Saccharomyces cerevisiae S288C: one gene and its partners. The protein of the gene in region 1 purifies or fractionates together with the protein of each later gene. This does not show direct contact. Each region holds a gene or a part of one and is shown on either strand. Other genes may lie near its edges.

Evidence for each region. The genes of interacting proteins can lie anywhere in the genome.
Region 2: the proteins of RSM22 (region 1) and RSM7 purify together in Saccharomyces cerevisiae (affinity purification with mass spectrometry; 4 studies listed by BioGRID, with this or other methods). This does not show direct contact.
Region 3: the proteins of RSM22 (region 1) and RSM25 purify together in Saccharomyces cerevisiae (affinity purification with mass spectrometry; 3 studies listed by BioGRID, with this or other methods). This does not show direct contact.

Annotation. Positions count from the first base shown.
Region 1 is NC_001143.9:158,956-163,435, forward strand, and holds RSM22 (tRNA methyltransferase RSM22), read right to left. Parts: upstream 2,388-4,480; coding exon 501-2,387; downstream 1-500. Other genes in the region: 40S ribosomal protein eS27 RPS27A, read left to right, coding at 12-257; SRP102 (Signal recognition particle receptor subunit beta), read left to right, coding at 2,646-3,380. UniProt on the Saccharomyces cerevisiae protein: Mitochondrial ribosome (mitoribosome) assembly factor. Binds at the interface of the head and body domains of the mitochondrial small ribosomal subunit (mt-SSU), occluding the mRNA channel and preventing compaction of the head domain towards the body.
Region 2 is NC_001142.9:637,732-640,661, reverse strand, and holds RSM7 (mitochondrial 37S ribosomal protein uS7m RSM7), read left to right. Parts: upstream 1-1,686; coding exon 1,687-2,430; downstream 2,431-2,930. Other genes in the region: YJR115W (uncharacterized protein), read right to left, coding at 211-720; YJR112W-A (uncharacterized protein), read right to left, coding at 2,494-2,803, 2,853-2,872.
Region 3 is NC_001141.2:187,490-190,504, reverse strand, and holds RSM25 (mitochondrial 37S ribosomal protein mS23 RSM25), read left to right. Parts: upstream 1-1,720; coding exon 1,721-2,515; downstream 2,516-3,015. Other genes in the region: YIL092W (uncharacterized protein), read right to left, coding at 1-1,439; LYS12 (homoisocitrate dehydrogenase), read left to right, coding at 2,873-3,015. UniProt on the Saccharomyces cerevisiae protein: Component of the mitochondrial ribosome (mitoribosome), a dedicated translation machinery responsible for the synthesis of mitochondrial genome-encoded proteins, including at least some of the essential transmembrane subunits of the mitochondrial respiratory chain.

The DNA of each region.
Region 1 (4,480 bases):
GTCTACAACAGGTTTTAGTTCAAGATTTATTGCACCCAACTGCAGCTTCTGAAGCAAGAAAGCACAAATTAAAGACATTAGTCCAAGGTCCAAGATCGTACTTCCTAGACGTTAAGTGCCCAGGTTGTTTGAACATCACTACAGTTTTCTCACACGCCCAAACTGCAGTTACCTGCGAATCCTGCTCAACAATTTTGTGCACCCCAACTGGTGGTAAGGCAAAGCTTTCTGAGGGTACATCTTTCAGAAGAAAGTAATTTCATTACTAGACAGATGAAACGAAATTTACTTCAAAAGAAGAGCATTAATAAAGTGATTCAATTATGGAACCAGCAGGGTAGGTTTTATCATATATAATATACACTCAGTTGTCATCTTTATTGGCTTTTTAGAAACGCTGCAACAAACTGTACTATATATATATCATATTCACGTATGTAGAATATTAAAGTATTGAATATATTAATATTATTACTTTATTTCCAGTTACTTACAATTTCCTATTTTCTATTTACATGTTGTAAAAAATCGTTGCCGTGAAAAGTGGACAATTTCTTCATTACCTCAAAGTTTGAGAACTGATGATCATCAAATTGAAGAGAGTCCTCCAATTCATTATAAGATTCCATAGCCTTTCTAGCTTTTTGACGTTCTTCCTTTTTCAACTGCTTGATTCTCTCCTTTTCTAGCTTGTGGAACTTCTTAACATTCAAGTCTCCCAGCCCTTTAATCTGTGTTTTGGCCGCTGAGGCCCATAAATCACCTTTCTTACTCTTTCTGGCATCGTGGTATATTTGTTTAGAAAACGACCGCGAAACCGTCCATTTTTCAAGTTCTCCTGATGGCGCACATAAATCCATCATAACATGACCTTTACGTTTGACAGGATCATTGATAATTCTAGGCCAGGAATTTTGCGTGTCATCACCCAGTGATCCAATGTCATATTTGCCGTTCACATTTTCATTCCGTAATTTCTTAATTTCTTTCAACGTATTTTCGTCCTTATGTGATCTCTCGAATATTAAATAGGAGTAGTTTAAAATTTCATAGTCACGACCATTTCTTCTTCCCGTTCCTTTTAGCCTCGACGCATTTCCTTGAGAACCATCCCATGAAGTAGCGAGAAGTTTACCCTTCTTTAACTCTATACTGAATTTGGGACGCTTGATGCTTTTTTGAAAATTGCAGAACTTTAAGTCTTTACCCTCTTTATGAGTATAAAAGTTAGGATTTCCAACCTGTAAGGGACATTTCCTTTGATGTGGACAAGGTGCAATCACCTTCAGAAAATAATTACTGGAAATGTTTCCTAATTCAGCATCTTTTTTGCCTCTGACTGTTACTCCCCTAGACCAAGGTCTTGGTATTTTTCCGAATTCATCTGGAAAGTTTTCAGGTCTAAGCGTAATTTGCCTTGCCCTGGCTATAATCTCGAATCCCATTGGGTTGCCTCGTTCAATAATAACAATGTGGCCTCCAGGCGCTAGAATATTTAAGTAGTGCTCAATATTTTCATCCACCTGAATTGGAAATTGATTCCCGTCATGAAGAAGTTGATGCGTTAATATTATGAGGTCATATTCCTTAGATGCGGGAATAGAAGACCGCAAGTTAGTCATAATGTTTATCTTTTTTGTCATCACTTCTCCAATATGTTCATCCTCTTGAAAGTTTTTGTTCCGTCTATCTGTTTCCTGCTCTTTCTCTGTAGACACATTTTCTTCTACAGTATCGACCACCTCGTTAAGTTGTCTGCTCAAAATGATTTTGGCTCTTTCTTGCATCTCCGCATTCCCTAAAATAACGGCATCTTTTAGATCAGGTCTATAATTTGGGCCTAAAATATCATTCAAGGCAACTATACCAGTCGCTGGGCCATATCCAACATCAAGGATTCTTTGAGGTTTAAAATTATCAGGACCTACCCTTTTTTGTAATTCTTTCAGACTTTGGAAAATAGAACCATAATTTTGTAAAAAAATGGACGCTATATGTGCATCCACTTCCATTTTGGTTCTACAGGGACGATGTAATGAATTTGGTTCCTGAATCTCTTTGTAATAATTTGTAGCAACCCTTCTAAGATTATTGGGAATATGTACAGCCATAATATTATTGTTGATTGCTTTGCTTACATCAGGATTCAACTCTAATTGGTCCCGGTACGACTGGCCCTGAAGTGTTTTGGAAAGTAATCTGAGCTCTTTAGAATTAGTTGCTTGAGTGGTGCTAGCGGTTTCATCTCTGTACGACGGAAGAACATTGATTCCTCTTTTATTTGAGTCTATAAAATCCGCCAAATCTAACTTTGGTAAGTTTAAACTTGTGAACTTTGAGCTGAACCGGACATTTTGTGGTAGGATACTGAAGCATCTTTTCATCATTTTACCTAAACTAGACGGGCCACCTTATGTCCTAAAGTGTCAGAGGTTTTGCTGCAATACTGTTCTTAATTTTTCACCATTCACTTTTTTCATCTAGTGGCGGAAAAAAATAAGAGATATGGAAAACAAATATGAACCATCATTAAACTTGAAAAAGATGAGAAGAAAAGAAATAGTTAGGCTTTAAGTGTCTGTATTGATCAATTAATTATTACTTTACCACTGCTGTTTATTAGCATAATAGCACACGGGATCAGAATGCTTAGTAATACACTTATTATTGCCTGTTTATTGGTGATAGGGACAACCATAGCGCTAATAGCAGTGCAAAAGGCATCCTCCAAGACAGGGATCAAGCAAAAAAGTTATCAACCATCTATTATCATTGCAGGTCCTCAAAATTCTGGAAAAACGAGCTTGCTTACGCTGCTAACCACAGATTCAGTAAGACCAACTGTTGTTTCTCAAGAACCGTTATCAGCAGCGGATTACGATGGTTCCGGCGTCACGTTAGTGGACTTCCCAGGCCATGTCAAGTTGCGTTATAAACTCTCAGATTATTTGAAAACAAGAGCCAAATTTGTTAAAGGGTTGATATTTATGGTAGACTCAACAGTTGATCCTAAGAAATTAACAACAACAGCTGAGTTCTTGGTAGACATATTATCAATTACTGAATCTAGTTGCGAAAATGGTATTGATATCTTAATTGCATGCAATAAAAGCGAATTGTTCACTGCAAGACCACCATCAAAGATCAAGGATGCTTTAGAAAGCGAAATTCAAAAGGTTATTGAAAGAAGGAAAAAATCGTTGAACGAGGTTGAAAGAAAAATTAACGAAGAAGATTATGCAGAGAATACACTAGACGTTTTACAGTCTACCGACGGGTTCAAATTTGCAAATTTGGAAGCATCTGTAGTTGCTTTTGAGGGCAGTATTAATAAAAGAAAAATTTCCCAATGGCGCGAATGGATAGATGAAAAACTGTAATATAATTATAATTTATAACTAGATGAACGATAGATAGTTTAAAAACAAGCATTTAACATAGCTCTAGATTCCGTACGCAGAGAAAGACATAGTTGCATCATCGACACATGCAATATCAAAAGTAACTCTTTTTGACTGCTGGTGTAAAAAACACTCACGATGGGGGTCGAACCCATAATCTTCTGATTAGAAGTCAGACGCGTTGCCATTACGCCACGCGAGCTAATATTTGTTTGATGTTCCAGCAGTTATATGATCTAATTATGCGGGAAAATAATTGAAGATAAGTAGTTTGATGTATTTTTATTATAGTATTATATTTTCTGATTTGGTTATAGCAAGCAGCGTTTTTTTTCTTCTTTACCATAATCATTGTACCAGGAAATTTTGTTCATAATTATTGTGTTGATTGTCAATGGTCAAAGGTACAACTAATGAAGATTAAATATGGTGAATAGGAGGCCTGCTAGCCACCGTACATTTAATATGTCCGCGTGTTGGAATAAAAATCAACTATCGTCATCAACTAGTGGTTATACTACCAGTATATTATCTTATATGGTGTCAAATGTGGACATGATGACATAAGGTATGAGAAACTGTCATCGAAGTTAGAGAAAGCTGAAATACAAGGATCAATAATGTAATAGGATAATGAAACATATGAAATGGAATGAGGAACAATCGTGATATTATTATGTAGAAATATCGATTCCTTTTTGGGGATGCCTATATCCTCGAGGAGACACTTCCAGTATATTCTGTATACATAATATAACAGCCTTTATCAACATTGGAATCCCAACAATTATCTCAAAATTCACCAACCTCTCATGGCGCATATTCATCATGCATGTAACTACCACATCAATGTTCAATCATGGACTTTTAACTAATCTTAAGTACTATTCGAACTGCCCATTCAGCTTTTCCCTTTGCAATTGGTGCACTCCTACTTGAACGAATTCGCGGGGTGTACATTAAACTACGATGTAAACATCAAGGTTATTGCTATAACATGTCATGTCACCATTAATTACCACTCATTCCAACATACTGTCCCTGACGAAAACTGTTTATGCGAGCGCAAAATGAACCTA
Region 2 (2,930 bases), on another chromosome or scaffold:
TATGTATATAAACATATGTGTGCATATATAAGTGCACGTATAGAAATAATATGCGATAAAAGTCTATTGTTCCTGGCTCATAAAACCTAGGAACTGAACGAGTTTTTTTCTTTGGTGATTCTGGCGTGATTCAACATTCGTATGCGATGACGGGCAGATCCGCGTCGTAAAAATGTTCTTAAGAAAGGAAAAGGGGAAAATGCATGCTAATCACATAATGCTAATGGGCCGGATGTTATTAGTGAGAGGAGAAGAGTCGCTGGATGCTGGGGAAGCGGAATGAGCTTCTGCAGTAGAAGAACCATCGGCAGCGTCACACAGTACTACCTCGCTGTCGATTTCGTCTATTTCGTCGAGGATCCTGTCCAGCATATTGGCGTGGCCCACCATTTTTCGTAGATCAAGTTCTCTGTGGTGGTGTCGAGTAAGGGCGCACTGAGACAGCTTGGAACGTATCTTGCTTATGTATAAGTATTGCTGAGGTATGGTCATGTACGGAGACATGCTGCTAAGCGGTGGGTGAGAGGTTGCCAACGAGGTGGGAGAGGGGAAAAATAACTTTAACACTTTAAAGAACTTCAAACTCAGTAGTCGTCCCCTCACACTAACTTGATCTCCTGTATATATATATATGTGTGTGTGTGTGTGTGTGTGTGTGTGTGTGTGTGTGTTCATCACCTTACTATTGTATATTAATATTGTACGTGTATTTGTGAACATGCACGTTCACTACGCTGCTGTTATGCTACTCTTCGACAGGGGTTGAAAAGGGCGGCTACGTAAATTTTGATCTGACAATGCAGTAAGCACAAACACTCTAAAAGATAAGTTTGCTACGACATCATCTACAGGAAGATTTCTTCGAGAACGCTTTAAGGTTTTTCGCTTTTAAATTATGACCCCGTGGTGTTTGGGTTAAATTACCAGTTGATGCGGGGGGGGGGGGGGGGGGGTTATATCAAAGTGGGGAAAACCGACTAAGGGCGGGCTTCTTTTGCAGTTGGCGTTGTGAGCGGGCATTGTGAAAGAAGAGCCAGGGTATATGGAAGATGGCAGACCCGTGTGGTTTCGGTTAAGCTGAGGCAGGGCGGGCGCGGTGTTGCGGGCGGGGCAGCGCCCGCAACATTCGGCGACTCGACGCGCTGCCAGGCTGGAAAGTTAGGACGGCGGCACCCCTGGTGGTTGCAAGGGTTTAGCTTATTTCAGAAAGGGATACTGGCCAGCAAACGTATTAGGGGCACACTATTGCCATTTTTGAGTATATCCATGGTTGCATGGTCGGACGCAAAGCTACTTTGCTCTGGTCACACTAAATAATCGCGCGGTCAATTATTTAGAGGTATTGGCGAGACATATGAGCACATTCCTCGTCGGTTTATTGTCTCGTGGTCATTTGCGTTAAATGATGAGCTAATACAGAGAGCAGAGCCAAAATGAAAAGCAAAAAAAAAAAAAAAAAAAAAGATAAAGCGATAAACATCGAGCCACGTGACCATATATGAGAAATGATCATCTGAAGAAGAAACAAAGTAGTTCTATACGGCTTTAAATGTTCGTCTTGGCTCCAATCTACATTTGCTTGAGAAATAGCTTACTACATACAATGCACATTATACACGTACAGAAAAGACAGCAGCTATCGTTTTCAGAAGAAAAATAGATAGATACGGATCTGAGGTGAATATAATGCTGCATTGTGCGAGGAGGTATATGTTAGTCAGGCCACGTCTCCTGTGGCAAAGTGGGACATGTGTTGCTCGTTTCCAGTCGTCAGTACGAACACCAGCTAGCGAACCATCGGCAGAGAAAGGGGTCGACGAGTGGCTTGAAGCGATCAACGAGCTAAGGGAAGAGTTCTCTGCAAAAGAATACCTGCCAGAGACCTCGCTGGCTCCACCGGGCCAGTCCAAAGTAGACCTCTTACAGGGTTCACAGGCGGGCTCCAAGATAAAGCCAACTGCAGAGCAGTTGGCACAATGGGAGGCACTGAAGTCCGTGCCCATTCCTCCACGCAAGAACGCAACGCTGGATCACATCACAAACATGATCATGCGCCACGGTAAGAAGGAAAAGGCACAAACCATTCTGTCCAGGGCCTTATATCTGGTGTACTGCCAGACCCGGCAGGACCCCATCCAGGCTTTGGAAAAGTCACTCGACGAACTAGCTCCGCTGATGATGACCAAGACATTCAACACAGGCGTGGCCAAGGCTTCTGTCATTCCTGTGCCTCTGAACAAGAGGCAAAGAAATAGGATCGCGTGGAACTGGATCGTACAAAGCGCAAACCAAAGAGTGTCGAGCGACTTCGCCGTGCGTTTGGGAGAAGAACTCACTGCCATTGCCAAAGGCACTTCGTCTGCCTTTGAAAAGAGGGACCAGATTCACAAGACAGCCATTGCTCACAGAGCATATATTCAATTAAAGTAATCTAGTCTACGTAAACTTGCCTGTACATAAACACATTTATATGATTTTCCGTATAATCTCTTTTTATCGGTCCTGGTAGAAGGCAATGCCCACACCAAGCAGACTGCCCCAGAAATTACAAATAATATCCTTCACATCGAACACCCTTTGTCCCCGCGAAACCACGCTTTGGGCGAATTCACTCGTTACACTTGCGCATAATGAACAGATCAGCACCCCTAACACGTACTTGTTGGCCTGTAGCTTGCGGAAAGTCACGATGTCCTCAGCAAACATCTTTACAAACAGCCACGACTCCCACATGAACACGACAAAGTGAGCAACTTTGTCGTTAGTCGACGTGATCGCTTGAAACACTTTGTTGGTAGTGATGCCTAAGATACGTGCATACCAACGAGCTTACCACGAACATATATACATACGTTCTTCTCAGCTGTACCATTGTTTGCTCTTGTGGTCTTTGGGTTCTTTCTATGTCTACTTTTTTCTCTGTTCGAGTT
Region 3 (3,015 bases), on another chromosome or scaffold:
TCTTTAACCTGGCTACTCTTGCTGATTTCATTTTTTTTTACTGGATTACTAACTGTCGCAGAGCTTGTGGGCGGAAACATATACTCTGTTGAGGAGAAGCTATTCGATATACCACTATCTAGAACGCTCCCGATCTTTGTGCCCTGAATTTCAGCGTTTTTTTGAAATATATTTGATGTTATAGGTTGTAGTGAGTTTTTCTTGACGGCGCAGCACCTCTCATTCAAAGAACGTGAGTTTCCATCCATACGTTCATCATAAGTTGTAGTTTCCTCCTTCGTGCCTAAAACTTCATCATTAATTAGGTCAATATTAATTGTGCCTGTAACCAAACTGCCGCTATTCAAAATCGATATTGGCTCCACTGCACATTGTTGAGATTTACTGTTTTTAAGATTCGTATGGAGATCGCTTAAATTGGTGTGTCCATTTTTTGATGTGTATGCATTGGCAGAAACATTCCTAGATGTAAGAATATTCTTTTCCTCATCCATGACAAGAAAGAGCCGCATTCCAGGTTCATTTTGTTTCCGACGTTTAGGATCGGGTATGTGTTGACTGTTCTTATCAAAGTAATTTTTCTTATCACTCTTTTCAATAACCTTATTCTTACTTATAGTTTTAGTATTCGATAATTTGCTAACGATAGCAGTATTCTTACTCTTTGGAGTACAAATGTCGGAATCCCTCGTATTTTTATACCGGTATTTTTTATGATTAGATGCTCTCTTCGCAAATTCACAGGCAGTTATCAATAGTGCTAAATTCAAAGTCATTGGGAATGCACAATTTTCCAGTTGCTTTTGCAACTGTGGCTCCAATTTTGTGAGGAATAGATCCAACGCAGCACCAGAAGACAGATAATATGGAGTTAGACGTCCCGATTTATGGGCAAATGCTTCTAATGACTTCTCAGAATCAATGGACAACGTCAATAGTTCCGTAAAAATTTCCCTTCTTAAAGATCTTGCTCCATCAAATTCTTCTGATAGTAGAGCAAGAAATTTTTCAAAACTGTAAGCCTTTATCACATGGTCATCGATTCCCTCCGTTGTAGAATCAAACCATGTCTTAGCCCGGCCGGATAATGCAGAGCTTATAAGAAGTTTCAAAAACGTTCCTGTACAGCATAGTCCAAATAAGATATCTGTAATATCATCGGCCCATTGGACGAATATATTGTTATCATCACCGTCTTCAGCACTGAATTTTTTCAGATGACTCACTTTATCTAGCATTTTGAACGCTTGTTCATCGTCATCAATCTGTCTTGTAACACAAAAATTATTACACGCTATGGGCAAAGTTTCGCTCCTCTTTCTACGTCCACTGTGTCCCTTCTTGCTTCGCGGCGGCAGGGTATTTCCATTAGCTATTGTATCACTATAGTTATTAGTTCCCGACTCGTATGCCATGTTTTTGGATCTCATTTGCACCATTAAGCAAAAAGAATCTGTTGAACGAGGACCCTAACCCAAGACAGCTAATATACTGCTTTTTTATGACATTTTTCATTTGGTCTTCATTCTTGCGCATCTTCTTTGAGAGTTGAAATTTCTTTGATACTTCGGCAATTACAGAAAAGTGCAAGTTACAAGCAATAAAACCAATAATATTTAGATACTGCACAAAAGTCTAAGAAAATAACCTCATTAGAAGCTTGGAAAAGGAAGAAGGACATTGCGCACCATTCAAGAAGAAGATCTTAGAATTCTGAGAAATGAAGATACAAACAAATGCTGTAAACGTCCTTCAACGGACGTCCGCTTACTTGAAATCAGGATTGTTGAAAGAAACACCTGCGTGGTACAACGTTGTAGCGTCTATCCCACCATCAACCAAGTTTACACGTGAACCTCGTTTTAAGAATCCTTCCAATGGACACATCATAGGAAAACTTGTTGACGTAACAGAACAACCGCATGCCAACAATAAGGGACTTTACAAGACAAGACCCAACTCGAGCGACAAAAGGGTGGGCGTGAAAAGGCTGTACAGGCCACCTAAACTAACATACGTTGAGGATAGGCTCAGATCGCTCTTTTACAAACAACATCCATGGGAGTTGTCGAGACCTAAGATTTTAGTGGAAAACGAAATTGGTGATGAAAACTACGATTGGAGCCATATGCTTCAGATAGGAAGACCACTCGATGGTGAAAGTGTTATCCAGCGAACTATGTACTTAATCAAAACGAAGCAGTATGGGGACATGGTCGAAGCATATGACCATGCCAGATATGAATTCTATGCGTTGAGAATGCAAGAAGAAACAGAGCAGCAAGTGGCTTTGGAAGAAGCGGAGATGTTCGGATCCCTCTTTGGAGTTTCTGCCATTGAACATGGTATACAAAAGGAACAAGAGGTCCTAGACGTCTGGGAAAAGAAGGTAGTTGAAGAAACTGAACTAATGGCAGCAAGGACAAGTAACCCTGCAGGGTCGTGGAAGGACGACACTACATTGAATACGGCGCAAGAAGAAGAATCCACCACTTCCGAGAACCTCCACTTCTAGGTGGGCTGCCTCTTTTCTCCAACGTCACCTAACCAACCTGTATATAATTAAAAACAAACGAGAACAACACATGTAGTGCTAAGTAATTGTCGTTCTCAAATTCCACCTCGATTTTTTCAACTGCACTGAAAATTCCCACTCTTTTTTTTTTTTTTTTTTTTTTTTTTCACTTTTTTCCCGTGGAAAAATATTCTTAAGATGACTCTAATTAGAGGAAAGAACAACAAGAAACTAAACTGGTTCTACAGTTATATAAGGACATCTTAACTGATTTAGAATTAGCTAAGACTGTATCTATGCGATTATTATATTAGTGCGACATATTTATATAACTAAGATAGTAACGCACTCAAAAAGATGTTTAGATCTGTTGCTACTAGATTATCTGCCTGCCGTGGGTTAGCATCTAACGCTGCTCGCAAATCACTCACTATTGGTCTTATCCCCGGTGACGGTATCGGTAAGGAAGTCATTCCTGCTGGTAAGCAAGTTTTGGAAAA